Linked DNA regions of Macaca mulatta. The protein of the gene in region 4 binds, or shares a complex with, the protein of the main gene of each other region. Links are inferred from orthologs where the notes say so. Each region holds a gene or a part of one and is shown on either strand. Other genes may lie near its edges.

Region 1 (4,320 bases), on a different chromosome or scaffold from region 4:
TACTAAAAATACAAAATTTAGCTAGCAGTAGTGGCACCTGCCTGTAATCCAGCTACTCTGGAGGCTGAGGCAGGGAAATCGCTTGAGCCTGGGAGGTGGAGGTTGTGGTGAACTGAGATCGCACCATTGCACTCCAGTCTGGGCAACAGAGTGAGACCCTGTCTAAAAAAGAAAACAAAAGGAATTGTTTTAAAATTTTTACCGTTCTGAAAGCACATTGACATCCTTTGCATTTTTTTTTCTAATTATTTCACTTTGATTTGTAAATTCTCAACTAGATTGAGGGGCTGTATGGGTTACAATTCCTCTGCATCCTCCCCAATAAACTTGGTGGGAATTTCAGACTTTTTGTTTGTTTGTTTTTTCCGAGACGGAGTCTCGCTCTGTAACCCAGGCTGGAGTTCAGTGGCGCGATCTCGGCTCACTGCAACCTCCGCCTCCCGGGTTCAAGCGATTCTCCTGTCTCAGCCTCCCGAGTAGCTGGAACTACAGGTGCATGCCACCACGCCCAGCTAATTTTTGTACTTTTAGTAGAGACGCGGTTTCACCATGTTGGCCAGGCTGGCCTTGGACTCCTGGCCTTAAGCGATCCGCCCGCCTCAACCTCCCAAAAGGCTGCGATTCCAGGCGTGAGCTACCGCCCCCCCCCCCCCCCAATGAGCTTGATTCTTTCTGCTCCCCTGTGAACCCTACTGGTTGTCTTTTTTCCTGCTTTATCCCTCGTCCTCGGTAGACAGTGGGCACTCAATAAAGAATGGTTAAATGAATGAATGCGGCCGGGCGCGGTGGCTCAAGCCTGTAATCCCAGCACTTTGGGAGGCCGAGACGGGCGGATCACGAGGTCAGGAGATCGAGACCATCCTGGCTAACACGGTGAAACCCCGTCTCTACTAAAAAATACAAAAAACTAGCCGGGCGAGGCGGCGGGCGCCTGTAGTCCCAGCTACTTGGGAGGCTGAGGCAGGAGAATGGCGTGAACCCGGGAGGCGGAGCTTGCAGTGAGCTGAGATCCGGCCACTGCACTCCAGCCTGGGCGACAGAGTGAGACTCCGTCTCAAAAAAAAAAAAAAAAAAAAAAAAAAAAAAAAAAGAATGAATGCATGAACAAATGACCGTCCTGGAGCTAGTACTGCATTGCACGTATACATTGATGACAACAGACATCGTACAATGCGCAATCTTGGCAAATTTATTAAAAGCTTCCAGACTTCGGTCTCTCGCAGGGCGACGCCGGGAGCCTATCACACACTGAGGTCTGTCGGGGGCCTCAGGAACAGCCTCGGAAACGTGGGAGGCGGGGCTTCCCCGACCACACCCCCTTGTATTCAAAGCCTTTCCGCCTGTGGGCCCGCCTCCTCGGCGCAGTGTGCCACTCTAATTGGCCATCTTACCAATCCATCTGAGCACCTCGGCGCCGATTGGATCAACTGCTGAAGTCGGGTTGCGCACTTTCCGGCGCTGGGAACGCGGAGCGGACGCACACTGGCCGCCATTGCGCTCCGGAGAAAGCGGCCCCCTGTGTGAGGGGTTGTGGGGTGCGTGGCAGGCGTTTAAGGCCGGGCTGCGGGAGGCGTGGTCGGGTCGGGCTGAGTGACCGAAGGGGTTAGGCCGGGCGGGGCTGGATGCACTCAGTGTGGCGGGATTGCAGGCCCGGGTCCCCGGACGCCTTTCTGCTGCGCTTCTTGTGGGCCCGGGCCTGTGGTTAGTGAATTTTTCTGTCCCGCCGCTGTCCAGATTCTCCGGGTATGGCCGGAGTATTTCCTTACCGAGGGCCGGGTAACCCGGTGCCCGGCCCTCTAGCCCCGCTACCGGACTACATGTCGGAGGAGAAGCTGCAGGAGAAAGGTGAGTCGAGTGTGGAGCGGCGCGCGAGCCGGAGGCGGGGCGGGTGTTCGCGCGCGCAGGTGGCTGGGGACCCTCCCCGTTTGGGCAGCTCCCGAGGTGACAACTCCCTTGTTAGCCCCATTTAACTTTTTATCAAGTCATTTTAAGCGCGTGTTATCTGCAAGCGCTGATCCAGTAGTGATGGAGACAAAATTCCTGTCCTTACGGGGTTTAAATTACAGCGGGAGAGAAAGACAGTAACAAAACCTTGAGGATCTGTAATAAAAATGTCAGGCCGGGCGCAGTGGCTCACACCTGTGATCCCAGCACTTTGGGAGACCCAGGCGGGCGGATCACCTGAGGTCAGGAGTTCGAGACCAGCCTGGCCAACATTGTGAAACCCCATCTCTACTAAAAATACAAAAATTAGTCGTGTGTGGTGGCGCGTGTCTATAATCCCAGCTACTGGGGAGGCTGAGGCAGGAGAATGGCTTGAACCCGGGAGGCGGAGGTTGTAGTGAGCCGAGATCGCTCCATTGCCCTCCAACCTGGGTAACAGAGCAAAACAACGTCTCAAAAAAAAAAAAAAAAAAGTCAGATAGTAATAAATGTGATGAAGGGAAAAACATAGTAAAGTGGTAAGGGAATTGGCAAGGAGTGTTGCTTCCTGCTGGATGCCTGCTCCTCTGTCACACTCACTGACAGGAGCTTACCCTAGGGCAAGAGGTGAAGAGGATTAGGCTGAGGGTGTGCAGTCCTTTAAACTGAGGTGCCTTTGTAGCCCGAAAATGGCAGCAATTGCAGGCGAAGCGCTATGCAGAAAAGCGGAAGTTTGGGTTTGTGGATGCCCAGAAGGAAGACATGCCCCCGGAACATGTCAGGAAGATCATTCGAGACCATGGAGACATGACCAACAGAAAGTTCCGCCATGACAAAAGGGTTTACTTGGGGTAAGGAACATCCTGAAATAACTTCATTTGGAATTTGGTTCTTTTCCCTTTTCCCTGTCCCACAGTCTTGGATAGATGCTCTGTCATTTTGGAACAGGACGCTGCTTTGACAGCTCATCTTGGTGGATATAAGAGAAAGGAGAAAACCAGTAGGAGTCTCTGATAATTTCTACATCTTCCACTTACGCAGTCTGTTTCCCTTCTGTTCCTGATCTGGGCCTGGGACTTTAATTTGTCCTGTTGATGCTGTTATAAGATATCCCTGTCGTTGAGCTGTTTGAAGCCCAGAGTGGGAGACTGTGCATAGTGGCAGCCTGTCACTCCTCAGGGACCTGAATTCTGTGTTTAGGGTATTTAATTTCAGAGGTATCCCTACTGCTGTTTTTCTGTGGCTGTAAACTGGGTGGGTACAGGTACAGATGTCTTAGCAGATTCCTGCTCTATTTGGACACAAAAACGTTTGCCGTGTAATGAACTGGAAGTTTTGTTTATTTCAAAAAATAGTTTGAGAACTGTGCTGGCTGCTTGGGGTATAGTAGCGAGCAGAGGGTAACAATCTCCGCCTTTCTGCAGTGTGCAGTCTAGTGGCATGACAGACATGAGACAACTGGTGATAGTGAAGTATGGTGAATACTTTATTATGATTTATGAGAAGATACTGAGGGAATAGGATGTGAGACAGCCGCAAAGCTGTCTCCAGAGGGACAGCTGTTGATTTAGAGGAGCTGATACCAGCATTGTGGGACTATGACATTTAAGAAGAGTGCTGAGGCTGGGCGCGGTGGCTCAAGCCTGTAATCCCAGCACTTTGGGAGGCCGAGACGGGCGGATCACGAGGTCAGGAGATCAAGACCATCCTGGCTAACACGGTGAAACCCCGTCTCTACTAAAAAATACAAAAAAAAAAAACTAGCCGGGCGAGGTGGCAGGCGCCTGTAGTCCCAGCTACTCGGGAGGCTGAGGCAGGAGAATGGTGTAAACTCGGGCGGCGGAGCTTGCAGTGAGCTGAGATCCGGCCACTGCACTCCAGCTTGGGCGACAGAGCGAGACTCCGTCTCAAAAAAAAAAAAAAAAAAAGAAGAGTGCTGCAAGATGAAGTTGTAGAGGGAGAGGCAGGGTTTCTGGTTAGGAAGGGCCTATGGGCTAAGTCTGGGAGTTTGGATTGTAAGGTAGGATTTACTGTGGAACATGAACGTGTGGCTTCTCTGCATGGGACAGGTAGCAGAACACCTCGTCATTTCTAATAGCCTTCTCTTTTTCTAATGTGCCAGTGCCCTAAAGTACATGCCCCACGCAGTCCTCAAACTCCTGGAGAACATGCCTATGCCTTGGGAGCAGATTCGGGATGTGCCTGTGCTGTACCACATCACTGGAGCCATTTCCTTCGTCAATGAGATTCCCTGGGTTATTGAACCTGTCTACATCTCCCAGTGGGGGTGAGAAAGGCTGAAATATGGTGGGCAGTGGTGGTGGTGGTTGGGGGCAGTGGGTAGAAATGGTTGTGTGATGTTCTTGCCTTCTAGGTCAATGTGGATTATGATGCGCC
Region 2 (4,394 bases), on a different chromosome or scaffold from region 4:
GGGCATTGCAAAGGTAGTATCCATGCCATAGTAAACTATATGGGTATTCAGGGAGGTAAAGAAAGAAAGGCTTTAAGGGAAAAAATAGGATTACATAATTGTTTTGAGATAATTATCCTTAGGTAGAAGAATTAGTAACAAGGGTGACCAGTTCAACGTTGGACAGGAAAGTTGCTGGGCAGATGGCCATTCAAAAGTATGTTTTGTGCAAGGTTGGGGTTTTTGCAGAATCTTTGTGATAGTTTTCATTATCAGATATTTATGCATGAGAACCCTCTTGTCATGGTTTTCTCCGACTCTGTCCGGGTTTTTTTGTTCTGTTTTTTTAACACAAGTGACTCCAATTAGATTAACAACTTTTGCATTCTCAGGACACTCACAGCCTAAGCCACCTCTCTACCCCTACGTTGTCAAACGCGATGGGAGTGTAGTAAGGCCACCTCCTTCCCTGGTGCTTTGTTCCCTGTAACCACGAGTAGTAATCCATCACACACCTGCTTCCCGAGAATCCTCGAGAAGGAATCGGCCGAAGGGCTTCAGCATCCAGAAAGCCCCGAAAGCGCCACAAACAAGGCTCTTCCTCCGGCTCCCCGGTGCTGCCCCGGGCGCGCGCCATCCACCCGGCTGACAAAAAGCACCAGGACATGACCCCGTCCCCTTTGATTTCTGTCCAGAGGTGGCGGACTCACCTCGGGGCTGGGATAGAGGACGGGTCGGGGTCGCTACGCTTTTTGCAAAAGGGTCAAAAGACTGATGGGGGTGGGTAAGGAGCTGACGCCCGCGCTCTAAAGGGGCGCCCCGCCAGCCATGGGGATCCTGGAGGTGCTTCTGCCTCGACGTCCTCCCAACATGGGTGCTGCCAGACTCCGTTGCGCTCCTGAGTTGCTCCTCACGTCATTCCAGCCGCCCGACATGGGTGCCTCACTTTCGGCTTCTGGGCCACGTCGGGGCGGCGGAGGACCCGGGGGGCCGGGCGGGAGAGTGGGAAAGGTGGGGCGGGAAAGCCGAGAGAGGCCCTCACCCGCCTTCCTGTTGGCGGGGGCGGCAAGTGGGTTTCTTTCTTGCGTTCAGATTTTGCAATAATTTGCAGCTGGACATAGGATATGGGAGACAAGGCTGCTCCTCGCAGTACACCCACCCACGCCCATACCTCCCTCGGCGAAGCGTGTCGCAGCGGGTTCCAGCGCAGGCTAAAGAGCTTCCGCAGCCAGAAAACCGAAAGCGCGCCGCGCACGCGCGCCAAGGAGTTCGGCGACGGCCCCGCCCTTCGCCTGCCTCGTCCCGCCCCTTCCGCGCCTTGTAGGGTGGGGACAGCGCGGCTTCCGCCGGGAGCCTGGAACCGAGCCCGGCAGCCGGGGGCTGGGCGCCAGTACCCACTCCGCCAGCCCCAGCCCGCAGACGGTTCCCTGTCTCCCGCGCCCCAATTTCGATTTTCAGACCCAACTCCTACAGGATTCTGAGACCCCGGCCCATCTCCCCACATTCCATTTCCAGCTGCAAATTACTGCAGAGTCTGAACCCAAGAAAGAAACCCGTTTGCCGTCCCCGCGTCTTCCCTCGCCAGACAGGTGGAGAGTGGGTGAGGGTCTCGCTCGGCTTTCCCCCTGCACCTTTCCCACCCGCCCGCCCGTCCCTGGGGGTCCTCCGTCACGCCGGCCATGGCCCAGAAGCCGAAGTTGGACCCCCACGTCGGGCGTTTGGGATACCTGCAGGCGCTGGTCACGGAATTCCAGGAGACCCAGAGCCAAGGTGAGAGCCACGGTGGGACCAGGTGACAGGGTCGGCTGTGACCGCCGCCCGGACCTGGCTCCAGTGCCGCTTTCCCGTTGCAGACGCCAAGGAGCAAGTCCTCGCCAACCTCGCCAACTTCGCTTATGACCCCAGCAACTACGAGTATCTGCGGCAGCTGCAGGTCCTGGATTTATTTCTCGATTCGCTGTCGGAGGAGAACGAGACCCTGGTGGAGTTTGCTATTGGTAAGGGCTGGGCCCGTTCGCTAGATGGCTAAATGGGCCGGGGTGAGGTAAGTGAGTTACAAGTGAGTCCTTGGGGCCTGGCGTGGTGGCTCACACATGTAATCCCAGCACTTTGGGAAGCCGAGGCGGGGGGATCACCTGAGGTCAGGAGTTCGAGACCAGCCTGGCCAACATGGCAAAACCTCGTCTCTACTAAAAGTACAAAAATTAGCTGGGCATGGTGGCGAGTGCCTGTAATCCCAGCTAAGCGGGAGCAAAAATTAGCCGCACACAGTGGTGTGCACCTGTAGGCCCAGCTACTCTGGAGGCCGAAGCAGGAGGATTGCTTGAGTCCGGGAGGCAGAGGCCAAAGTGAGCTGAGACTGCGCCACTGCACTCCAGCCTGGGCGACGGAGTGAGACCATGTCTCAAAAAAAGATGTTTTAAAAAGAGCAGTTTTGTAGCCAGGCGCGGTGGCACACGCCTGTAATCCCAGCACTTTGGGAGCCCGAGGCAGGCGGATCACCTGAGATCAGGAGTTCGAGACCAGTCTGGCCAACATGATGAAACCCCGTCTCTAACTAAAAATACAAAAATTAGCCGGGCGTGGCGGGCGCCTGTAATCCCAGCTACTCGGGAGGCTGAGGCAGGAGAATCACTTGAACCCGGTAGGCAGAGGTTGCTGTGAGCCGAGATGGCGCCACTGCACCCCAGCCTGGGCAACAGCGAGACTCCGTCTCAAAAAAAAAAACAACAACAATTTCAGGTGGGTGAGGTGGCTCACACCTGTAATGTCAGCACTTTGGGCGGCCGAAGCAGGCAGATCACTTGAGTCCCGGAGTTCAAGACCGGCCTGGCAAAAGCCCATCTCTGCTAAAAAAAAAAAAAAAAAAAAAAAAATTAGTCTGGCGTGGTGTCCCAGCTACTCAGGAGGCTGAGGTGGGAGGATTGCTTGAGCCTGGAGGACGAGGCTGCAGTGAGCTGGGATTGGGCCACTGTACTCCAGCCTGGGTGACAGAACGAGAATCTGTCTTAGAAACAAAAGTAACTCATATTTAGTGTTTTCATATCAGGAGAAGCAGAGATGGCTTGCAGTCTGTAACTTACGGCTTCTTTTGTAGTTATGATCTTAAGACCTATTGATTTATTCACTGGGCAGATATTTACTGGGCATGTACCGTATATGTAAACTACTGCTCTAAATGCTGGAGTATGGTGAACAAGTTAGGGGAAGTGTTTGCCCCTCAGGAGCTTACATTCTAGTAGGGGGGACAGGTGGTTAGCAAACAAAAAAGATGATGCTCAGCAGCAAATAAATGGGGTGATGAGAAACAGCAGTAGAAGGTGGTGGTTACTTCTGTTTTGGCCATCATGAGAAAGGCATTTTAGCAGGGACACAGCATGGGCAAAGGCCTTAAAACAGGAAGGAGCCAGAAGGAAGATGAATGTGGCAGGATCGTTATAGTGAAGTGGAGAATGGCACAAAAAGAGGATAGAGAGTTAAGCAGCACCAGAGCTTGCCGGAGCTTAGATCTAGGCCGTGGGAAATAGTTTGAAGCAGACAAAATTTTGAGAACAAACAAAAATCCCTTTTTCAAGCCATGCACAGTGCTCATCTGTAGCCCCAGATAGGAGGATCGCTTGAGCCCAGGAGTTTGAGGCTGTAGTGTGCTACGATTGCATGATTGCACCTGTAAATAGCCACCGCACTCCAGCCTGGGCAACACGCGCGTGATCACCTGGCTGAAGTCTTGTCAGGCTTCTCCACTGTAAAATTACTCTTTCTTTCCCCTCTTTACGTATTATGTATTATACCCATTGGAAGGAAGTCACTACATAAATTATCTTAAATCTTTTTCTTTTTTTTGAGATAGGGTCTCACTGTGTCACTTAGGCTGGAGTACAGTGGTGTGATCATAGTTCACCATAAATTTAAACTTCTGGGCTCTAGCAGTCTTCCTGCCTTAGCCTCCCGAGTAGCTGTGACTACAGGTGGACACCACCATGCCCGGCTTTTTTTTGTTTTTAATTTGTTTTCGAGAGGATCTCACTGTGTTGCCCAGACTGGTCTCGAACTCGGCTTTTTTTTTTTTTTTTTTTAATTTGTTGTCGACACACGGTCTCACCGTCTTGCCCAGACTGGTCTTGAACTCCTGGCCCCAAGAGATAAATCGCTTGTAACCCTAAACAGACCCTCATTTCATAACACTGATTCTTGAAGGCCCCAACCAGGAATGCAAATGTTCCCCCTTCCGGTTTGTCTCATTGCCTCTTTGTGGTTTGTTTCTTTATCCCCTTTATTTCCTATAATCTAGAAATTGGGTTGAAAGTCTTGATAGGATCAAGTAACACATTTTATTTTATTTTATTTTATTTATTTATTTATTTATTTATTTTTTGAGACGGAGTTCGCTCTGTCGCCCAGGCTGGAGTGCAGTG
Region 3 (4,235 bases), on a different chromosome or scaffold from region 4:
ATAGGGAAGGGAAGAATGAGAGCAACCCACCATTTCATCCCTACCCCGGGCGCCGTCACCCACAAGCAGCCCCGGGTCCTCTTTCTAATTTGCGGCCTCCAGCATCGGAGACTTCTAGGATAAATCCAAGGCTCAGAAAAAGTCCTTCCAAGACCATCCGGTCCAGCCTACCTCAAACTTGATGGGGAAATCGAGGCCCAGTGAGAGAGAGGGGAGATGGAGGAAGGGACTCTTCCAAATAGTTGACTAAAGGCGTAGAACCCTGAACCCCCTCGTCTTACTATTTCAGACCTTTCCTCATAAAAGGAAGCTACTGTTGTAAAACCAGCCCGAAGCCTTATTCCTTTGGTAAGGGTCATGCGCTCAGATGACGAAGACTGTGGCATCTGCGGTTAGGGCCGTACGCTAAAGCCAAGTCAACCCTGGGTAACAGCGGGGAGGGAATGAGGGTCCCCGCGGTGCCCGGGTCCCCGCCCAGCCTCACCCGCAGCTCCCGGCCCAGCGGCAGCTCCTCAGTCCTGCGGTGCCAGCCGCTCCAAATGGTGTAGAACGCCGAGCCCACGGCCAGCGCCAGCAACAGGGGCAAGAGCCGAACCCGCGGTAGCAGGCGGCGCTTCGGGGGCAAGAGTGGCTCCATAACGCCACGTTCCCCTAGCCGCAGGCGGGGCCGCCCGCGGCCCCCGGAACGCATGGCAGCTATGCCCTGAAACCTGTACCAGACCACGATTGAGTTTAGGCCCAGCCAAGTTCCACCCCATGGAATCAGTGGGCCAATAAGCAACAGCAGCGGCTGCACCTGCCCACCCCACAGCGAGCAGCGAAACCAATAAGAGCTACGGTCCTGAGGACACGCCTCCCGGCCTCCCTTGGGTATTGGGGTTGGTTCTTCTGAGAATGGCACGACCCAAAAGGGAGCGCAAAAGAGATAGGCTCCGCCTTAGCGGAGGGGGAAAGCCAATGAGCAGCGTTTGATCGTGGAAAATATTCAATCTCTCGGGCGCAGGTCCATGCCCCTCCCGGATGTAGGCAGGGGATTGGTGGCGCAGGGTCGGAAAGATCAGTAGATACGTCAATAACCCGTCCCAGAGGGAAGAGGGGCGGTGCCTGTCTCCGAAGCGAGGAGCGGATTGGCTTCAGCGGAGGCCGCGCCCCCGAAGTCACGGCCGGCGGGCATTTGGAAATAGTTTGTCATTTCCCTCCTTCAACCTGTACCATTCTTCAACGAAACGGTTTGAATCAGACCGCCTTTCCTTTTGTCTTCATTGTCATAAACATCTGCCCCGTGTGGTTCTGACTGGCCTCGAACCCCTATTCGAGGCTTTTATTCTTTCATTGTGCACCGTTGGTGGGCAATGCTATGGCAACAGGCCACGCCTCCACTTACTGGTTGGCTTTGCGCAGGCGCCAACGGAAGTGGGTCGCAGGAAGAGGAAGTCCCGCCTCTCTCGCCTCAGGCTGCAGCAACGCGGAGGAAACGGGAGTGAACGGAGAGCTTAGTGACCATCATGTGAGGCCGGGCTAGGCTTAGGCGGCGGGAAGGAGGTTGAGGGTGGAAATTTTGACCTATTGAGGGTGGGAAGGGTTGAGCAGAGAGCGGGGTGGGGGACAGGGGCAGATGTTTTAGGGATGGAGCGTCCTGCTTTTCTCCTGATGAGTTTGAGAACGGGCGTGGGGCCTTTGACGCATCGTGACTTCGGGAGAGGGGACAGCTTTATCAGATAACGCGCTGGGCTGGGCGCGGGGACTCATGCCTGTGATCCCAGCATTTTAGTAGGCCAAGGCGGGAGCATCGCTAGAACACAGGAGTTTCGAGACTACTCTAGGCAACATAGCGAGACCCCCGTCTCTACAAAAAAAAATTTTTTTTAATTATGAAAAACATATTTTAAACGATAACGGAGGGGGGTCCTAGATAATTAGTCCTATTGAAGTGAATGTTAAGGGGCAGCGATTTTACGAATACTGGGGGAGGCCGGGCGCGGTGGCTCAGGTTTGTAAATCCCGGCACTTTGGGAGGCCGAGGCGGGCAGATCACCTGAGGTCAGGAGTTTGAGACCAGCCTGGCCATTGTGGTGAAACCCCGTGTCTACCAAAAATACAAAAATTAGCCAGAAGTAGTGTCGGGCCCCTGTAATTCCAGCTACTTGGGAGGCTGAGGCCGGAGAATCGCTTGAACCCGGGAGACGGAGGTTGCAGTGAGCCGAGATTGCACCACTGCACACTTCCAGCCTGAGCGAAGAGTAAGACTCCATCTCAAAACGAAACAAAAGAAATCAAAACGAATACTGGGGAAGGGAAGTTAGGACTTTTAGAAATAATGATTTGAAATAAGGGACTTCTCCTGATCATTTGAGCTGGAGACAGATGCGTTTTCGACCTAATTCACAACTTAAAGGGATAACGAGTGATTGGCATGATTTTGCTCATTTATTAGTGCACCAAATATTACATTGAATGTTTATGTATCAGACACTGCTTAAGCCACATAGGATACATCAGTGAATGAAACCTTTTGTTCCCAAGGAAAAAAAAAATCTTTTTTTTTTTTTCCCGAGACATAGCCTTGCTCTGTTGCTCAGGCTGGAGTGCAATGGTGCGATCTCAGCTCACTGCAACCTCTGCCTCCCGAGTTGAAGCAATTCTCCTGCCTCAGCCTCCCGAGTTGCTAGGATTACAGGCACCCACCACCATGCCCAGCTGACTTTTATATTTTTAGTAGAGACCAGGTTTCGCCATGTTGGCCAACCTGGTCTCAAACTCCTGACCTCGAATGATCCACCTGCCTCGACCTTCCAAAGTGCTGGCATTACAGGCGTGAGCCACCGTGCCTGGCCGGGCGTGAGCCACCATGCCTGGCCGGGGTTTTACTTTCTACACTGAGATGGCGGGGGGGCATGGGAGGATTTTCTTTTGTTTGTTTGAGATGGAATCTCGCTCTGTCACCCAGATTGGAGTGTAGTAGCACGATCTCTGTCTCCTGGGTTCAAGTGATCTTCTTGCCTCAGCCTCCCAAGTAGCTAGGATTACAAGCATGCGCCACCATGCCCAGCGACTTTTTTTTTGGGGGTGGGGGATGGAGTCTTACTCTGTAACCCAAGCTGGAGTGCAGTGGTGTAATCTTGGCTCACTGCAACCTTCGCTGCTGGGGCTACAGCGATTCTCCTGCGTCATCCTCCTAAGTAGCTGGGACTAGAGGCATGCGCCACCACACCTCGTTAATTTTTTTGTATTTTTAGTAGAGACAGGGTTTCACCATGTTGCCCTGGGTGGTCTGGAACTCCTGAGCTCAGGCGATCCACCCCCCTTGGCCTCCCAAAGTGCTGGGATTACAGGCGTGAGCCATCACATGCAGCCTAATTTTTGTATTTTCTAATTTGTATTTATTTATTTTTTGAGACAGAGTCTCGCTCTGTTGCCCAGGCTGGAGTGCAGTGGCATGATCTCGCTTCACTGCAATCTCCGACTCCTGAGCTCAAGCGATTCTTCTGCCAGAACCTACCAAGTAGCTGAGATTACAGGCGTGCACCACCACGCCTGGCTAATTTTTTGTTGTTGTTTTTGTTTTGTTTGTATTTTTAGTAGAGATGGGTTTTCACCGTGTTGGCCAGGCTGGTCTCGAACTCCTGACGTCAAGTGATCCACCCGCCTTGTGAATCATCACCAGCTGGATGCCTAACAGACATTTTCTTTTTTTTTCTTTTCTTTTTTTTTTTTTTTTTTTTTGAGACGGAGTCTTGCTCTGTTGCCAGGGTGGAGTGCAGTGGCGCGATCTCAGCTCACCGCAACCTCTGCACCACAAAAGTGCTAGGATTACAGGCATGAGCTACCGTACCCAGCCCCTGGGAGGGCTTTGAAGAGTGACATGTTATGATTTAGGTTTTAGCACAGCCCCTCAGACCACTCTGTGGAGAACAGACTGTCAGGGAACATGGGTGGAGGCAGAGAGACCGGAAAGATTCCAGGTCAGAGATGACAGAGGCTGAGGCCATGGTAAGAAATGGCCACTTCCTACAGATTTATTGTAGGATGCAAGGGAAAAAGAGGAATCAAGTTGACAAAGAGTTTTTGCCCAGAGAACTAGAAGGCAGATGGGGAACACTGTGGATAGGGTAGGCTTCGGTGGTTGGGTGATCTGGATCCCGACCTGAGACATGCAGAGTTGAAAATGTCTGGCTGAGCGCGGTGGCTCACACCTGTAATCTCAGCACTTCGGGAGGTCGAGGCGGGTGGATCAC
Region 4 (4,364 bases):
TGTTTTATTTTTTGTGTGTGTGTTTTGAGACACAGTCTTGCTCTGTCACCCAGGTTGGCATGCAGTGGCGTGATCTCGGCTCACTGCAACCTCTGCTTTCTGGGTTCAAGGGATCTGGTGCCTCAGCCTCCCGAGCAGCCAAGATTACAGGCATGCACAACCATGCCCAGCTAGTTTTTGCATTTTTAGTAGAGATGGGGTTTCACCATGTTGGCCAGGCTGGTCTCAAACTCCCAGCCTCAAGTGATCTGCCTGCCTTGGCCTCCCAGAGTGCTGAGATTACAGGCATGAGCCACTGCGCATGGCCTATTTTTCTTTCTTATTTTTTTCATAGCGAAGGGATCCTCAGCACGGGTGAAGTAGTTTTGATTATGGTCTTGGACACTAAGATGACACTTGGGCAATTCATCTAAACATGGGCTGATATGCTCACTTGTCAAATGGGAGAAGTATACTACCCATAATCCCCAAATCTCTTCAGCACTTTCCAGCACATTCTTACTTATTTATTTATTGGGAAGGAGTCTTGCTCTGTTGCCCAGGCTGGAGTACAATGGCATGATCTCATCTCATTGCAAACTCCGCCTCCTGGGTTCAGGCGATTCTCCTGCATCAGCCTCCTGAGTGGCTGGGATTACAGGTGCCCGCCACCAAGCCCCGCCACATTCATTTAGTTTTAAAAAATGTTATGTGCAGGCTGGGCACGGTGGCTCACACCTGTAATCCCAGCACTTGGGGAGGCTGAGGTGGGCAGATCACTTGAGGTTAAGAGTTTGAGACCAGCCTGACCAACATGGTGAAACCCCATCTGTACTTAAAAAAACACAAAAACTAGCCAGGCGTGGTGGTGGGCGCCTGTAATTCCAGCCACTCGGGAGGCTGAGGCAGGAGAATCGCTTGAACCCGGGAGGCGGAGGTTGTAGTGCGCTGAGATCGCGCCATTCCACTCCAGCCTGGGTGACAAAAGCAAAATCCCATCTTAAAAATAAAAAGTTATGTGCTAGGCACTGGGCAAACAGCTATGAACAAAATAAACAATGGAGCTTGCTGTTCCAGTGGGAAAGGGGGAAGGGAGGAGAGAAGGTGAGAGAAAACAAGCAAAATATATACTTGGTGTCATGTGCTATAGAAAAAAAGAAGGGATGGGCAAGGTGGCTCATGCCTGTAATCTCAGCACTTTGGGAGGCCAAGGTGTGCAGATTGCTTGAGCTCAGGAGTGAAATCCTGTCTCTACAAAAAAATACAATACAATTAGGTGTGGTGGTCTGTGTCTGTGGTCCCAGCTATTCAGGAGGCTGAGGCAGAAGGATTACTTGATCCCTGGTGGCGGAGGATGCAGCGAGCCAGTGGTCAACACAGAGAGATTCTATCTCAAAAGAAAAAAGAGAGAGAGAGAGAGAGAGAGAGAGAGAGAGAGAGAGAGAGAGAAGCAATGTGGGTTCCACATTATGTGGTACTGCAATTTAAAACAGGGTGGTCAGGAAAACCCTCACTGAAAAAATTATATTTGGGCAAATATTCGCAGGAGCTGAATAATAAACCATGTGAACATTTGGGAAGAGCAATCCCATAGGGAGGACAGCAAATGCAAAGGTCCAGAGGCAGAGGTTTGGAAGAGAGTGTAACTGAAGCCGGGTGAGCAATGAGAAATTGGTCAGAGAGGTAAAGGGAAAGAGGACAAATAATTATAAGAATTTTGGTTTTTACTCTGGATGAAGTAGAAAGCCACCAGAAAGTTTTCTGCAGAATGTAATGTGATCCGTTGTTTAGAAGGATTCCTTTGGTTATTGGCTTGGTAACAGGTGCTGCTACAAAGGCAGAAAGTGGAAGACCAGTTAGGGTCCCACTACAAAAATGCCAGATGAGATAATAACGGCTTAGGCCATGAGGCAGTGATGGAAATGGTAGAAGTAGCAATTCTAGATCTATTTTGAGAACGGTGCCAGCAGGATTTATTGAGGAGATGAGAGGACACTCGTATTTCCTCGTCTGAGCCTAAACAGGGCATTAGAAGTGTGATCACTATTTCCATCTTACAAAAAATATAGTTAGGAGCATGGTTTCTCAGTTCAACATCTGTTTCTATCACGTGCTTGATAAGTCTGCTTTTCCATCTGCAAAATGGGTTAATAACGTTCCTAACAGGCTGCTACCAAGATCAATGGAAATTTCATATACGAAACACCTTAGTACAAGAGTCAACGAATGTTAGCTGCTATTCAGTTGTTAATAATACTAGTGCAGAGAAATAAAGGGAAAAGCAACTTGCCCAAAGTCCCAAAACGAGCCAACACCAATCATTTCCCTCTTTTCCTCCCTCCCTCATTCATTCATTCTACAAAGTCTTCGGAATTTCTGTTCTACGCTAGATCCATGTTAGAGTCAGGATGCTTAAGCCCGGGTCCGGGTTGTGAGCCCAAGGTTCTCAACGCTAATTCTAACGCTACCTCACAAGGCAGTCGAGAGGCTGAAAACCAGCGCCAAACGGGCGAACAAGTACTGAGCATCCGCAGGCTATGAGGCGCTTTTACAATGTTGGTGTGCTTTAACTCTAGGTAGAAACTCTCGTTCTGCCCCCCGCAATGCGGGAAGGGTCGGTGCCGGGTCACCAGATACAGCGCTCTGAGGGGAGGAAGATGAGCTGAGGGCCAAAGGCCGCCTGCTTCTTCACTTACCGCTTGCAGCAAAGCTCCCGGCGTCGCCTGCTGCTGCCCGGCTCCCGGGCCCGACCCCGCTCCCAGTAGCAACTCATGCCGCTGCCGCTTGACTGGAACCAGCGGCAACTCTGGGCCCTTACGCTTCTGTTGTTCTATCATGGCGGCAACCGGTCTCTTCAGCGCCGCCACTGACCGCGCTGCCCCCCTCAGGCGCCACGCAATTGGTTCCAGCTTAGTCCTTCCTCCACAACTTCCAGCTTGGAAGAACCAATCGGTTTTCAATATACCCATTTGCACTGCCCTCGGATAGTCTCTTGTTATTGGGCATATCTTTCTGACGTCATGAGAGTGCGATTCCAGGATTGGTGGACGGAGCTGGCGACCTCCCTAGGCGCGCTGGGTCTTGTGGGTGGAAACGCGCTGGCTGACTGGGCTCGGCGTTTAGTTCAGCGCCGGGACTCGGGGGCCTGGAGCTGACGCCTAGTACGTATGAGGAAGAGCTGGGTGGGTGGCAGCCTGAGTCTGAAGGCGACGCCTCGGTTGTGCAGTCTGAAGCTGCCCTTCTCAGCTGAGGGTGCCGATAGCAAGGGGTGGGAGGCGGGGCCCCGAGTCCCCAGCTGTGGTAAGTAGTAGCATGGGCTCCCTTTCCGGGCGGGAGCGGAGCCTTGGGGGTCTCTGGCGGCAAGACCCAGTCCCTGCGGCTCCCTTCTTCAAGAGCGCCCGTCGTGGCCAGTCCTGTGCCGGGCATTCCCAGGGAGAAAGGCCTGTGTCCCAACTTCCTCCGGCGCCCCGTTTGGCCGAGGAGGCTGACTTGTTTCTGCCACTGATTTTGCAGTTTTTGATTAGGGCCTAGTCTCTGCCCCCCTGAGAGAGACAATGATGAAGGAAATGTCCGACTCCTTCTCCAGAGCGCAGTCTTGTTGAGAAATTTGAGACTCATGCCCATGAACGTGGTCATTGCGTCAGTCGTCCAGCTGATATTTATTTAGCAGCGCGTTGGGGGTACGTCGTGAACCAGACACGGTCCCTACTCTCAGGGCGTTTAAGTCTGGTGGGGAAAACGTTAAACAATGACCTCACTAATACATGGAAATGCCTCCTAGTGCTGTTTGATGCTGAGTGCCTGAAATAAGCAGGAAGGTTTTTCAGAGGAAAAGATGCCTGCTCTGGTAGCTGCAGGAAGAATTGTAATTAATTAAGTGAAGAGGTAAAGGCAGAACCTTCCGTAGAGAACTACTTGTTCAGAGCCCTGAGGCACTTGGGAGGAAAAATGACTAAAAGCACAAAGAGCCAGTGTGACTGATACAAAGAGAATGAAGGGGAGTATGGTACAAGATGAAGCTGTACGTGATAGCGGTCAGACCTTGCAGGAATTTGTAGCTTTATTTTAAAACGGATGGGATACCACTGAGCCGTCTTCCCCCGGTGGGGTGTGGTGGAGGAGGGGGCTTGATTTCTCAGGCTCAGTGGTGTGAACAGATTGGGGCTGGGGAAGCCCTAGTCGATACATGTGGACCACTTAGGATATACAGTAATCCTGGTCAGAGATGTCAGTGAGGACTGAGAAGTGGGTGGAACTGCAGAGAATTGGACAGATTCTAGAGGTATGTAGGAGGTAAAATGGGCGGAACTTGGTGAAGGGTTGATTTTAGTGAGTGAAGACAGGAATCAAAGGTAACTCATAGGTTTCTGGCTTATGTAGTTGAA
Region 5 (4,299 bases), on a different chromosome or scaffold from region 4:
CTTTTACAAGACTTTCTTTTTCATTCTATTCTCTTACCAAATATACTTCCGTAATCTTGTGTACTAGGCACCGGAGACACAAACGAACGGATACGTCTCTGGACCCCAGGGTCTCACAGTCCAGGGCAAAGAAAAAGATGAACAAGTCACGGCAATGTGCTAAGTGCTATAGTTAAGATATGATAAAGGGGCTAAGGTAGAATAGGAGGAAACGCGCAGTGAGACTGAAGGACCATAGTGTTTGGAATGGGGGAAGGAGGCACTAGGCAAGGGATTTCCAGGCAGAAAGACTAGCGTGGGCAAAATCTTCAGAGGAAGAAAGAAAATTTGGCTTTCAGGGCTTTGTAAAGAGTTCAGCATGGGAGAATAGCAGCCCTCACATGCTACCAAAAAAACTTAGAAATTACCCACTGGACAATACGGTGTCTTTGGGCAGGGAAGTGATAGGACGCAAGTGGAATTTACAAAGATCATTCTAGGTGCCCTGTGGAGAAAAGAATGGGGTATAACACTGGGAGACAAGAAAGGAAGAAGTAGAAATATCAGTTAGAAAGCTACAACTGTCTGAAGAGAAATGATGAGAATCTGAACTAAGCAGTGGCAGCAGAAGAGAGAGATTTGATGAATATCATTGAGTTAAAGTAGACAGGACCCACTATCCAAAAGAAGAGGCTGAAAGAGAAAGAAAAGAATAACTCCTGGGAGAAATAAGGAAGATATGAAGCCTGCACCAGTGAAAATAGTGAGGAAGGAGTTGATATGAGATAAATTAATGAAACAGAAATGTTAGAATCAATTGAATGACTAGCTTCAGGGGCTGAGGAAGAAGGAAGAGAAAAGGATACCTCCTTTGTTCTTGGCTTGAACTAGTGGGTGGATCGTGGGATCATAGATCAAAATGGGGAAAACAGAAATGGATTTTGAGGGAAAGAAAATAATTTTTCAACACACTGAACTGGAGGTGGCTGAGTGCCAACCTGCAAGAAACAAATGTACAATTACAGTGGGAGATTTTTATATACCTCTCAAGGTTGTAAGCTAGCAAGGAGGATAGAACTGGAAATAAAAGGATAGCAAACATGTGGCACTGTTAAAAGGGCTTTACATCTTTTATGGCAATTCTTATAATTCTGTTAGATCGGTACTACTGTTATTCCTACTTTACAGATCAGTAAAAATTAGGTGCTGAGCATTTAAGCAGCTTATCCAAGGTCCCCAGGTGGGTAAGTGCTGGAGGCAGGATTTGAATTACAGTCTTAATTCCAGAGCCTGTGCTAACCATTTCACGGTGTTCACCTTGAGCTAGGGGCAGCACAGACTGAGGTTGAAGGTATGGAAGAATATGTGGAATGCAAAGAGGACCAAGAGCAGAGTCCTAGGAAACACCAGTATTGAAAAGAGTAAAATAATTGGAACAGAATGCTGAGTAGAGCCCCATGGAAGCGAAACGGAGAGAAAGTTTCAAGAAAGAGGAACTAATGAACAGTGTCATTTGATGCAGACATTTAAGTCAGATGGCTGAACCTGACAACTGCAAGGCCTGGGACATCACTCACAGACAGTTTCCCAAGAGGGTAGGGCCAGACTGCATCGGGTTGAGGAGAAAATGAGATGAAGACAAAAAGAGAGCTCCAAAAAGCTGAGCTGTGAAAGGAGAAGACTCAGGAGGTTACTGGAGGGGCGTAAGTTTGGAAAGTTTTGTTTTGATAGGAAGTTAGGATTCTAAGCATTCTTTCATGCCAGATGCCCATTTTTAAAAAGTAAAATTCACAGACAGCTTGTTAAAAATCTGTAAAACACTCCTTAAGTCATTAAACTAGACTTGGGGACATGATACAAAGGAATTTTTGGACACCGCCTCCCATCTTCACATCTTGAGCTGATCACCTACCTCGGGCTCTACTGGGCCTACACTATCAATTGGTAGATGCTCTCATCAGGCTCTAGACACATCAGCTTTTCCTCAGTTCTTCAAACACACTAAGCTCTTTGCCTTCTCAGGCTTGCCTGTCACCTTTGCCTGGAAACTCTTGCCTGAATCAGCTTCCTCCATTGAGATCATGCAGCTGTTTCTCAAATCCAAGGCCTTTTTCTCACTGTATTAACATACATAATCATAAAACATTTACTGCACTCTCACTAGTTACCAGGCTCTGTGCTATATGCTTTATTTGTGTAATTTCACTCAATTTTCACACTCATCTTCTCATGTAGACAGGTGTTTTGAAAATGATCTCCGCTTGTACAGGTGAGGAAAGAGAGGAGGCTGCATAACTTGCCCAAGTTCACATAAGTGGTGGTGCCAGGATTAGAACCTAGTTTTTCAAAAATAAAACAAATCGAGGCCACTGCTCACTTCAAGTGAAGGTACAATACTCTAGTTTGGGAAGTCCTGATCTAATTTTATTTATGTTCCGAGATTACATCTGCACTTTACAGGCTATGTCCCTAATTCACAAATTCAAATTTCACCCCCTCTTTCCACTTGCTTTCTGATGGCGGGAGGTAAGGGCAGAGAGCATCGGGGGGCTATTCCGAACTTCCAATTCTGCTTCTCCCGAGGATGCATGTGGGAAGGAGAAGAAATTCAAACGTTAGCAACTTATCTCTGAGCAATGAGGTAAGCCGGGACCTAACAAGCGGCTGGCAGTTTTGGAGCTGAAGCCAACAATTCCCACACCGCATCAGTAGCAAAGGTGCTTACCTTAACTGCCACCTCCGGAGCCGAGTCCACTGCCACTGCTAGAGACGGCTTGGCTGAAGGCGATTTAGTCAAGTGCATGAGGGAGTCGGCGGCTGGCAGCGGACATCGACTGCTCTCACTGTCCGAGTCCGATTCGGACCCTGAACCCGAACCGTAGGAAGCGGCCAGAGCTGCAATCGCAGCCGACATGACGGCAACAAATCTTCTGCGGGGACCCTGTCAGGGCGGAAGAAGAGGAGGCTCCCAGGTCCTGACAGATTGCCATGGAACACATCATTAACTTTCTTTGCTAAGAAATAATTTCTTACATTTTAAAACAACAAGCTAATTATTATTAGAATAACTACTGTCGAAATGAGAGCTTAAAAAAGTTTATCTAGGGAAAAAGAGAGAATTATAATAGCTTATAACTTTCAGGACCTAGTTGACTAAAGAATACGAGTTCCAAAATACCTTGAGGCCTCGCGGTCCTGCACTCCCAGCGTGCAGCGCGGCAGGAAGCACCAGAGGGCACAATGGGAAGTGTAGTTTGGAACGAGGGGGCGGGACGGGGGCGGGTCCCTCCTTGACCCCGCCCCCGAATGGATGTTCCATTCAATTGGCTGTCATCTTCCCTCATTCCCTAGCCAAGCACTGTTCTCTCCGTCCCCCTCCCCCAAACTGAGGATTGGGCAATACCACAGAACCTCAGGAAAGGGGGGAAGAGCGAGCTTCGGCCCCACCGATGGAGGAGTGGGCCGAGGCTGGGTTTCCCACCTCGACTGCACCTGGGCACTCGAGGGTGAAGAGGAAAGTGAGAATCTGAAGTTTTGAGACCTCTGACTGGCCGGGAATAGCTCCTGGGGCACGGGGCAAGGATGGGACCATAGCCGGAGAGAGTCCCGCGGTCCCCCCTGCTTCTGGCGCGGGTCCCTGCGTCCGGTTGTGGAGCGTCTCGCGCGGGGAGGGGGCGGGGGGAGCGGCAGCTCGCGGTGTTGTTCACTCGCGCGTCGAGCACACGGTGGGTCCGGCGGCCGGTGGGCGCCCCAGGCGGCGTTCCCAGTGGCCTGGCGCCTCGGCCGCTGTCCTGAGCGGGTTCCGCCCCAGAGCCCGACCCTCCTGGGAGCCCTAGGTGGAGTCCCGCGAGCCGAGGGGGACCGGCGACCGCTGCCGAAGCATGAAGAAGGGGTAAGCGAGAGCCCCCAAGATTTCACGGTGAGCGCGAGTCCCTGAGGAATTGCTTTTTTCGGGGAGGGGGTGCTGGGAGAGGAACTCTTCCTCACCGGCCGGAGCAGACCGAGGGGTGTGTGGCCCGCATAGGTGACGGGGATGGATGGGCGCGCCTCCCCCGCCCCGGCCCCCACCCCCATCCGCGGGTTTCCCGAGCGCCCACCGCCCACCCGCCAGCCGGGCTGGGTGCAGAGGGAGACGGCGGCGGGCGCGCCCGGGGTTCGGCTGCAGGGACCGCCCCGGGGCTGCTTTCGCCGGAGAGACTGCGGGTCTCACCTGAGGTGCCACCGCCCGGGCTTCCCTGCCCACCCGCGCCCACGGTCCGCCCCGTGCCTCTTTCCGGGGGAGGCGGTAGCCCCGGGCGACAGAGAAACCTCTGCTCGCTC
Region 6 (3,289 bases), on a different chromosome or scaffold from region 4:
GTTGATGGATATTACAATTTTTAGAAGGGACATTCTAGAGAAATGGAATCATCATTCAAATAAAAATGCAAATTAGTAGTACAAGAACAGAATCTCCTAAATAAAATCAGACCACTACACTTTAGGATTAAGTTGGTGACCGTGACTTCTTACACTATTTTAACCAACATGAATTTCTTTTCCTTTTTAAAAAAAAGAAAAAAAAAAGAAATATCTAGTTGTTGCCTTTTGGGACACTAAGAAACAACAGCTGTAGATCACACGTGGACAATCACAAATTCAAAAAGTAAATAAATTTATACTCTGTACTCTAGAGATGATGTGAAGGGCTAAGAGGGGAAAATGAATCCTGATGTAAAACACAAGACCTTGCAGTAAATTCCTAAACGCTTGCAAGAGAAAGTGGGGAATAAAAAAGTCAAGGGTGGCCGGGAGCGGCGGCTCACGCCTGTAATCCCAGCACTTTGGGAGGTCAAGGCGGGTGGATCACCTGAGGTCAGAAGTTCGGGACCAGCCTCGCCAACATGATGAAACCCCGTCTCTACCAAAATAAATAAATAAATAGCCGGGCGTGGTCCCGGCTACTCAGGAGGGTGAGGCAGGAAAATCTTTTTTTTTTTTTTTTTTTTTTTTTGAGACGGAGTTTCGCCCTTGTTGCCCAGGCTGGAGTGCAGTGTCGCGATCTCGGCTCACTGCAACCTCCGCCTCCTGGGTTCAAGCGATTCTCCTGCCTCAGCCTCCCGAGTAGCTGGGATCACAGGCATGCGCCACCACGCTCCACTAATTTTGTATTTTTAGTAGAGATGGGGTTTCCCCATGTTGGTCAGGCTGGTATCGAACTCCCGACCTCAGGTGATCCGCCCGCCTCGGTCTCCCAAAGTGCTGGGATTACAGGCGTGAGCCACCGCGCCCAGCCAGGAGAATCTCTTGAACCCGGAAGGCGGAGGTTGCAGTGAGGGATTCTCAGGCTTGAGCCACCTCTTCTAATCTACCTTTCCGGCCCCCGCGTCGCTACTCTGCCCTAAGGCCCACTTTGATACACCCAGAAACGCTGTTTTTCACCAGAGCAGGATGTGGTTTCTACCGCGCTTCGTTTCGCAAGCCTCGGCTTCTAGGCAACCGGAAGAAAATAGAGGGCCGGCCTCGGAGAGAGGGTCCGCAGGCTGACGGACTCTCTGCCCACCATCCTTTTCAGAAATCAGCCAGTGGAGTCAGCCCCCGGGCCCAGGAAGCCGCCTTACCTTGCCCCCGTTAGTGAACCTCTGGATGTACGCAGTAGCCAGTCCTGGAATAAACAAGCACACGCCCATGGCGGCGAGTCCGGGGAGAATCTCGAACCACATCTCTGCCCCGTTATCTAGGCCAAAACCCTACTTCTGGGTCCTTGAAAGGTGACCGGGCTTCGGCTCCCTTCCCAGTAAGCCCCGCGGCCGCCCGCGAGCGGGGCGGTGCCACGTACGGCTCCGGAGGAAGCGACGGGATCTGCCAGGGCTCAAGAGAGGCTGGCGCTCGCGCTCTCGCAGTTCTCTTCCGTCAGTGTCTTTTGCTTCGACTCCCGGCGGAGCGCGCGACGTGGAGTAACGCGCAGAGGCCAAGTGCAACCCAGGCAGCGACGGCCGTTTCGGAGCTCGGGACTCTAAAATGGCAGAGCAGTTTTCTCCAGGGAAGACGGCGGATCAGGTGTGCACCTTCCTTTTCAAAAAGCCTGGGCGGAAAGGGGCTGCTGGACGCAGAAAGCGCCCGGCCTGCGACCCAGAGCCCGGAGACAGCGGCAGCAGTAGCGACGAAGGCTGCACTGTGGTTCGACCGGAAAAGAAGCGGGCGACTCACAATCCAATGATACAGAAGACTCGTGACAGTGGTAAACAGAAGGCAGCTTACGGCGACTTGAGCAGCGAGGAGGAGGAGGAAAATGAGCCCGAGAGTCTCGGCGTGGTTTATAAATCCACCCGCTCGGCGAAACCCGTGGGACCAGAGGATATGGGGGCGACAGCTGTCTATGAGCTGGACACAGAGAAAGAGCGCGATGCACAAGCCATCTTTGAGCGCAGCCAGAAGATCCAGGAGGAGCTGAGGGGCAAGGAGGATGACAAGATCTATCGGGGAATCAACAATTATCAGAAATACATGAAGCCCAAGGATACGTCTATGGGCAATGCCTCTTCCGGGATGGTGAGGAAGGGCCCCATCCGAGCGCCCGAGCATCTACGTGCCACGGTGCGCTGGGATTACCAGCCCGACATCTGTAAGGACTACAAAGAGACTGGCTTCTGCGGCTTCGGAGACAGCTGCAAATTCCTCCATGACCGTTCAGATTACAAGCATGGGTGGCAGATCGAACGTGAGCTTGATGAGGGTCGCTATGGTGTCTATGAGGATGAAAACTATGAAGTGGGAAGCGATGATGAGGAAATACCATTCAAGTGTTTCATCTGTCGCCAGAGCTTCCAAAACCCAGTTGTCACCAAGTGCAGGCATTATTTCTGCGAGAGCTGTGCACTGCAGCATTTCCGCACCACCCCGCGCTGCTATGTCTGTGACCAGCAGACCAATGGCGTCTTCAATCCAGCGAAAGAATTGATTGCTAAACTAGAGAAGCATCGAGCTACAGGAGAGGGTGGTGGTGCTTCCGACTTGCCAGAAGACCCCGATGAGGATCCAATTCCCGTTACTTAGCTGTCTGATAATTCTTAAATTTAAAAAATAAATATTTTGTTCTTTTGGAAGTCTTAATTCGTGTCCTTCCTTTGTAGAGACAGTGACAGAGAAGGCGGGTGGTGAAGTAGGGTCCTGGATTAAAAACCTCAAGGTAGGTATAATCAGGATTTTTAGCCCTAGGATAACCATTTTGCCTGTGTTTCTTTTCAGAACATTTTGGCATCAATTATAGGGGTGGGAGTAGTTTGAGAAAAGAGCTATAATTTGCTTGAAGTAGCCAAAGCTATGACGAAAGTAAGAACTCTGAGCCTGTTTATCATATCACATTTCTGTATCACTTAATGGTTTACAAAGTACTTTCATGCATTCTTTCTCTTGGGAGCCTGTACTACAAAATATACCGGAGCCAAGGTGTTGGGGAGAGGGGTTGCGTTTGGGGAATTGGTAGCTAGTACCACAGGCTTCACATATGGGAAATGTTCCTTGCTGTCTGGGTTATTTATTTATTTATTTATTTATTTATTTATTTTTGAGACGGAGTCTCGCTCTGTTGTCCAGGCTGGAGTGCAATGGCGCTATCTCAGCTCACTGCAACCTCCGCCTCCCGGGTTCAAGCGATTCCCCTGCCTCA
Region 7 (4,341 bases), on a different chromosome or scaffold from region 4:
CGTGGGCCCTTAAACGGGTGCATACATATCCCAACCCACGCTCACATCCCAACACACGCTTATATCCTAACACATACTCATATCCCAACACACGCTCACATCCTAACACATGTTGAGTTGTGCAAGGCAGGGAGCCACAGACTGAGCAACCCTTGGGTGAGGGGAGGGGTTTCAGGACCGATTGGGATTGTGCGCACTGGGCTTTTTTTTTTTTTTTTTTTTTTTTTTTGAGACGGAGTCTCGCTCTGCTGCCCAGGCTGGAGTGCAGTGGCGTGATCTCGGCTCACTGCAAGCTCCGCCTCCCGGGTTCACACCATTCTCCTGCCTCAGCCTCCTGAGTACCTGGGACTACAGGCGCGCGCCACCACACCCAGCTAATTTTTGTATTTTTAGTAGAGACGGGGTTTTACCATATTGGCCAGGATGGTCTCGATCTCTTGACCTTGTGATTCGCCTGCCTCGGCCTCCCAAAGTGCTAGGATTACAGGCGTGAGCCACCGCGCCCGGCCTGCACTGGGGTTTTAAGTCCCAGTAGTTTTTTTTAGGGCTCCTCTCCTCAAGAAAAAAACTCATACACACAGATGTGCCACATTTTGCATTCAATTTCAGGGGTTCCAAGGATACACTGACGCTCATGTGGCGCTCCTTCAGTCTTAACAGTTCACGGGGCGCGGGTTTAAAAAATCCAATCCAGGGCTGGGCGCAGGGGCGCATGCCTGTAATCTCAGCATTTCGGGAGGCCAAGGCGGGTGGATAGCCTGGCTTCAGGAGTTCGAGACACCCCCCGCCCATCTACAAAAAAATACAAAAATTAAAGGGGCGTGGTAGCGTTCATTCGTAGTAGTCCCAGCTAGTGGGAAGGCTGAGGGGGTAGGATCACTTGAGCGCGGGAGGTCGAGGCTGCAGTGCGCCGTGATCGCGCCACTGCACTCCAGCCTGAGCAACAGAGTGAGATCCTATCTCAAGGGAAAAAAACAAAACAAAAAAACCAGGGAACGTGGGAAGGAAGCGTTCCCTAACGATACTAGTTATAGCGGGTCGGAAACTGGGCTATGGAATTTGAGATAACGGGAAAACAACACCCGTTGAAGCCACGACCCTAGGAGTCCACTAAGCGAGCGCCCATTGTAGGAGGGAGGTGTCTACGGAAAGGCCGTGAGGTAGTGAACACCCCGTTGTCGGTGAAGTGCAAGCGCAGGGATGCCGGGGAGGAACTTCCAGCCACGAAGACACTGGCTTAATGCCCTCTAAGTCCTTCCAGTTCTGGGATCCCATCTCCGGGTTAATTCCGCTTCCCTTGAGTAGCGAATGCACAACGGGACCACTGGCTCAAAGAACCCACCCGACCCGCGACGGCGCGAATGTGCAGTGGAGCAGTGATCCCGGTCTTCCCATGAGCCTCTGGGGCCGGCTCCAGGGCGAGCGACGGAAGCAGCCGCTCTTAGTTTCCGGCAACACGACAGCGGCTGCCGAGCGACCCGGAAGTATTCCCATTTTGCGTTGTCTGGGCTCGGCGGTAGCCGGGCTTGGAGTGGACGTGCCACTATGGGGTCGTCCAAGAAGCACCGCGGAGAGAAGGAGGCGACCGGGACGACGGCGGCGGCCGGCACCGGGGGCGCCACCGAGCAGCCGCCGCGGCACCGGGAACACAAAAAACACAAGCACCGGAGTGGCGGCAGTGGCGGTAGCGGTGGCGAACGACGGAAGCGGAGCCGGGAACGTGGGGGCGAGCGCGGGAGCGGGCGGCGCGGGGCCGAAGCTGAGGCCCGGAGCAGCACGCACGGGCGGGAGCGCAGCCAGGCAGAGCCCTCGGAGCGGCGTGTGAAGCGGGAGAAACGCGATGACGGCTATGAGGCCGGTGAGGAGGCGGGGCCTGCGCAGGGGGCGGGTCGGGCAGGGGTCCCAGAACGTGCGGGTCTGGGTGTGCGCACAGTGTCAGCAAAGCTCTCCGGATCGGGAAACCCCCAGACTGTCTATATCAACTCTTATTAAATAGTCTTTCTACGGGATCCCATGAGCCCAGGAGTTAGAGGCTGCAGTGTGCTGCGATCCCGCCAGTGCACTGCAGCCTGGGCAACAAAGCGAGACTCTGTCTCAAAAAAGCTTTTCTACGATTGTTTGGGATTAGAGGTAGACTGTCTCCACCTGGCTCCTTGAGGATAGAGAGCTTCCGTTTTTCTCAGTTGTCTGGTACAGTCACAGATTCTCAATAAATGTGTTGAATGAATGAATGAAGTAGTGTCAGCATATGCAGAGACAAGAAAAACCTGGTATTTGACGAATCGTATTGGACGAATCGTGTAGGGCTCCTGGTAGAGAAATGAAGGAGTAAGATAGGCAGGGATGTGAACGCAAAGGATCCTGTACTGTAGGCTCTGTTAAGAAATGTAGATTGTCTTGACAAGGTAGTAGGGAGCCTTGGCTGTGAGTTGAGGAGTGAGTTGCTCAGATCCGTATTTTGTAAACATTACTGGATTGAGAACTTAGTCAAAGGTAGTCAGGATTGGAGACCAGGAAATCAGGAGGGCTACAGACCAGGTGAGGGCTGATGGTGGCCTGCACCAAGGCAGCAGCAGTGGAGTGGAGAGAAGTGGACAGGTTGGAGAGGTGTTTTAGAGGAGGAATGAACAGAACTCAGTACTTGTATGAGGGTGGGAAGGAGAAGGAATTGAGGATGACTCCTTGAATTTTGGCTTGAGCAGCCAGATAGGTAGTGGGTGTCATTTCTACTGAAATTGAGGAGTAGGGAAGAGAAGGAGATTTGGAGCAGGGTGGGGGAAGATAATTCACTTTTGGGGTTGTCAAGGTTTATGTGCATAGGGAAATCCAGAGTTTGGACTGGATAAAGCCATTGGGAGTCAGTATCTGGGTGGCCAGTGAAGCCCGCGAAAGAATGCGACATGAGAAGCCGGGGTCAGGAATAGAACCTGAGAAATGCCCTTATGTTAGTAGTAGGCAGAGAAAGATGTTACCAAAAAAAGGAGATAGAGTAACCAAAGAGGCAGGAAAACCTTTGTGTCATGGGAACTTTGGAAATAGAGTATTGTTAGAAGGAGGGAGTGATCAGCAGTCCCATATACCACAGGAGATCAAGGAAAACCAGAACTGAAAAGAACCCGTTAGATTAGAAATGAAGGAGACTGGTGACTTTGGGGAGCCTGGAGAGATTGGGATCCAGGGCCCAGGTGGAGAGTGGAGCCTTTAAGATACAGGATGGGAATGCAGGAAAGGAAGAGGTGTTTTTTTTTTTTTTTTGAGACAAAGTCTTGCTCCATCTCTTTAAGAGACCTTGTCTCTTAAAAAAAAAAAATGAAAGAAAAAAGGAGAGGGCAGAATGGTGACTGTAGCAGTTTGGATCTCTTGGGTCAGGATAGGAAGGTGCGCAGAAGAGGCAGGGCTCTGAGACTGGACTCGGGCAGAGGAGCTGCTGGGGAGCTTGGGTGGAAGAAGCTGCTGTTTTCTGGTGTTTCATCAGGCCCAGGTGCTGGTGAGGGGCCCTCATCTTTGATCCTGCAGTTGGAGGCACTGATGCTGGCTTGTTGGCCCTATGTTCAGCTCCTGAGCCATGCTTCTTCTTCTTCCAGCTGCCAGCTCCAAAACTAGCTCAGGCGATGCCTCCTCACTCAGCATTGAGGAGACCAAGTGAGTACTGTCTCCCTTGTTTCCACTTTGTTTTTCTAAGATAGGTGGCTCTGGGGCCAGCCCTGGGGAGGCTTTCTCACATGAAAGTGTGCTAATTGGAGTTGGAAAGGTTGTATAGATCATTTTAGCCAACAGTAGAGTTATAGAAGAGGAAACTAATACCTAAGAGTAAAGTGGCATTCACCGGTTAGATGCAGACCAGGCTGGCGCCCATGTTTCCTGCTTTGGAGGCCAGGGCCCTTCCCAGTGTCCTAGGCTTCCTGGGGCAGACCGTGTGTTTGGGACCGCTCACTCCCACCCTGTTTCTTCTCCTGTCTGTTTGGAAATGCACATGGCACCCTGTGTCTTTGATAGCCCGTAACACTTGTATCCTTTGATAGCCCCTAACACTTGTATCTCTTGTTCTCAGTAAACTCCGGGCAAAGTTGGGGCTGAAACCCTTGGAGGTCAATGCCATCAAGAAGGGTGAGCATGGGGCTGAGGATGGGGTTTGGGGGAGAGGGCCATCTGAAGGGGTCTTTGAAGAAGGTGGGATTAGAGGGCAGGTTCAGCACGGTTTAGTGGTCTTACACATGCATATTTGCCGGAAGGCACGAGGTCCCTTCTTGCTGTTCTAATGTGGACCTGGGGCTCTGCTTGTTTTCTGAGTTAGAGCCGTGGCCTTCGCATACTCACTCTGGCTGTGAGGTGTTGTTAGAT

What was found.
Region 1: SNRNP40 (region 4) and PRPF8 share a complex: the UniProt entries of both Homo sapiens proteins name them as parts of the U4/U6-U5 tri-snRNP complex. The link is inferred for Macaca mulatta from reciprocal best matches to the Homo sapiens genes SNRNP40 and PRPF8.
Region 2: SNRNP40 (region 4) and ARMC7 share a complex: the UniProt entries of both Homo sapiens proteins name them as parts of the minor spliceosome. The link is inferred for Macaca mulatta from reciprocal best matches to the Homo sapiens genes SNRNP40 and ARMC7.
Region 3: SNRNP40 (region 4) and SNRPD2 share a complex: the UniProt entries of both Homo sapiens proteins name them as parts of the U4/U6-U5 tri-snRNP complex. The link is inferred for Macaca mulatta from reciprocal best matches to the Homo sapiens genes SNRNP40 and SNRPD2.
Region 5: SNRNP40 (region 4) and CDC40 share a complex: the UniProt entries of both Homo sapiens proteins name them as parts of the postcatalytic spliceosome P complex. The link is inferred for Macaca mulatta from reciprocal best matches to the Homo sapiens genes SNRNP40 and CDC40.
Region 6: SNRNP40 (region 4) and RNF113A share a complex: the UniProt entries of both Homo sapiens proteins name them as parts of the pre-catalytic and catalytic spliceosome complex. The link is inferred for Macaca mulatta from reciprocal best matches to the Homo sapiens genes SNRNP40 and RNF113A.
Region 7: SNRNP40 (region 4) and SART1 share a complex: the UniProt entries of both Homo sapiens proteins name them as parts of the U4/U6-U5 tri-snRNP complex. The link is inferred for Macaca mulatta from reciprocal best matches to the Homo sapiens genes SNRNP40 and SART1.

Annotation. Positions count from the first base shown.
Region 1 is NC_133421.1:3,240,434-3,244,753, reverse strand, and holds the start of PRPF8 (pre-mRNA-processing-splicing factor 8), read left to right. Parts: upstream 1-1,463; 5' UTR 1,464-1,535; intron 1,536-1,734; 5' UTR 1,735-1,745; coding exon 1,746-1,845; intron 1,846-2,605; coding exon 2,606-2,774; intron 2,775-4,045; coding exon 4,046-4,210; intron 4,211-4,297; coding exon 4,298-4,320. UniProt on the Homo sapiens protein: Plays a role in pre-mRNA splicing as core component of precatalytic, catalytic and postcatalytic spliceosomal complexes, both of the predominant U2-type spliceosome and the minor U12-type spliceosome.
Region 2 is NC_133421.1:84,791,047-84,795,440, forward strand, and holds the start of ARMC7 (armadillo repeat-containing protein 7), read left to right. Parts: upstream 1-1,585; 5' UTR 1,586-1,658; coding exon 1,659-1,749; intron 1,750-1,832; coding exon 1,833-1,976; coding exon of another isoform or gene 1,977-2,008; exon of another isoform or gene 2,009-2,380; intron 2,381-2,681; exon of another isoform or gene 2,682-2,715; intron 2,716-4,394. UniProt on the Homo sapiens protein: As a component of the minor spliceosome, involved in the splicing of U12-type introns in pre-mRNAs.
Region 3 is NC_133424.1:58,226,574-58,230,808, reverse strand, and holds the start of SNRPD2 (small nuclear ribonucleoprotein Sm D2), read left to right. Parts: upstream 1-1,401; 5' UTR 1,402-1,505; coding exon 1,506-1,507; exon of another isoform or gene 1,508-2,240; intron 2,241-2,716; exon of another isoform or gene 2,717-2,812; intron 2,813-3,332; exon of another isoform or gene 3,333-3,649; intron 3,650-3,876; exon of another isoform or gene 3,877-3,990; intron 3,991-4,235. Other genes in the region: QPCTL (glutaminyl-peptide cyclotransferase-like protein), read right to left, coding at 485-691. UniProt on the Homo sapiens protein: Plays a role in pre-mRNA splicing as a core component of the spliceosomal U1, U2, U4 and U5 small nuclear ribonucleoproteins (snRNPs), the building blocks of the spliceosome.
Region 4 is NC_133406.1:209,565,219-209,569,582, reverse strand, and holds the start of SNRNP40 (U5 small nuclear ribonucleoprotein 40 kDa protein), read right to left. Parts: upstream 2,829-4,364; 5' UTR 2,817-2,828; coding exon 2,676-2,816; intron 1-2,675. Other genes in the region: ZCCHC17 (zinc finger CCHC domain-containing protein 17), read left to right, coding at 3,147-3,266, 3,815-3,826. UniProt on the Homo sapiens protein: Required for pre-mRNA splicing as component of the activated spliceosome. Component of the U5 small nuclear ribonucleoprotein (snRNP) complex and the U4/U6-U5 tri-snRNP complex, building blocks of the spliceosome.
Region 5 is NC_133409.1:15,228,507-15,232,805, reverse strand, and holds the start of CDC40 (pre-mRNA-processing factor 17), read right to left. Parts: upstream 2,912-4,299; 5' UTR 2,894-2,911; coding exon 2,705-2,893; intron 1-2,704. UniProt on the Homo sapiens protein: Required for pre-mRNA splicing as component of the activated spliceosome. Plays an important role in embryonic brain development; this function does not require proline isomerization.
Region 6 is NC_133426.1:126,364,793-126,368,081, reverse strand, and holds RNF113A (E3 ubiquitin-protein ligase RNF113A), read left to right. Parts: upstream 1-1,426; 5' UTR 1,427-1,641; coding exon 1,642-2,676; 3' UTR 2,677-2,783; downstream 2,784-3,289. UniProt on the Homo sapiens protein: Required for pre-mRNA splicing as component of the spliceosome. As a component of the minor spliceosome, involved in the splicing of U12-type introns in pre-mRNAs. E3 ubiquitin-protein ligase that catalyzes the transfer of ubiquitin onto target proteins.
Region 7 is NC_133419.1:8,455,642-8,459,982, reverse strand, and holds the start of SART1 (U4/U6.U5 tri-snRNP-associated protein 1), read left to right. Parts: upstream 1-1,498; 5' UTR 1,499-1,545; coding exon 1,546-1,858; intron 1,859-3,584; coding exon 3,585-3,642; intron 3,643-4,051; coding exon 4,052-4,107; intron 4,108-4,341. UniProt on the Homo sapiens protein: Plays a role in mRNA splicing as a component of the U4/U6-U5 tri-snRNP, one of the building blocks of the spliceosome. May also bind to DNA.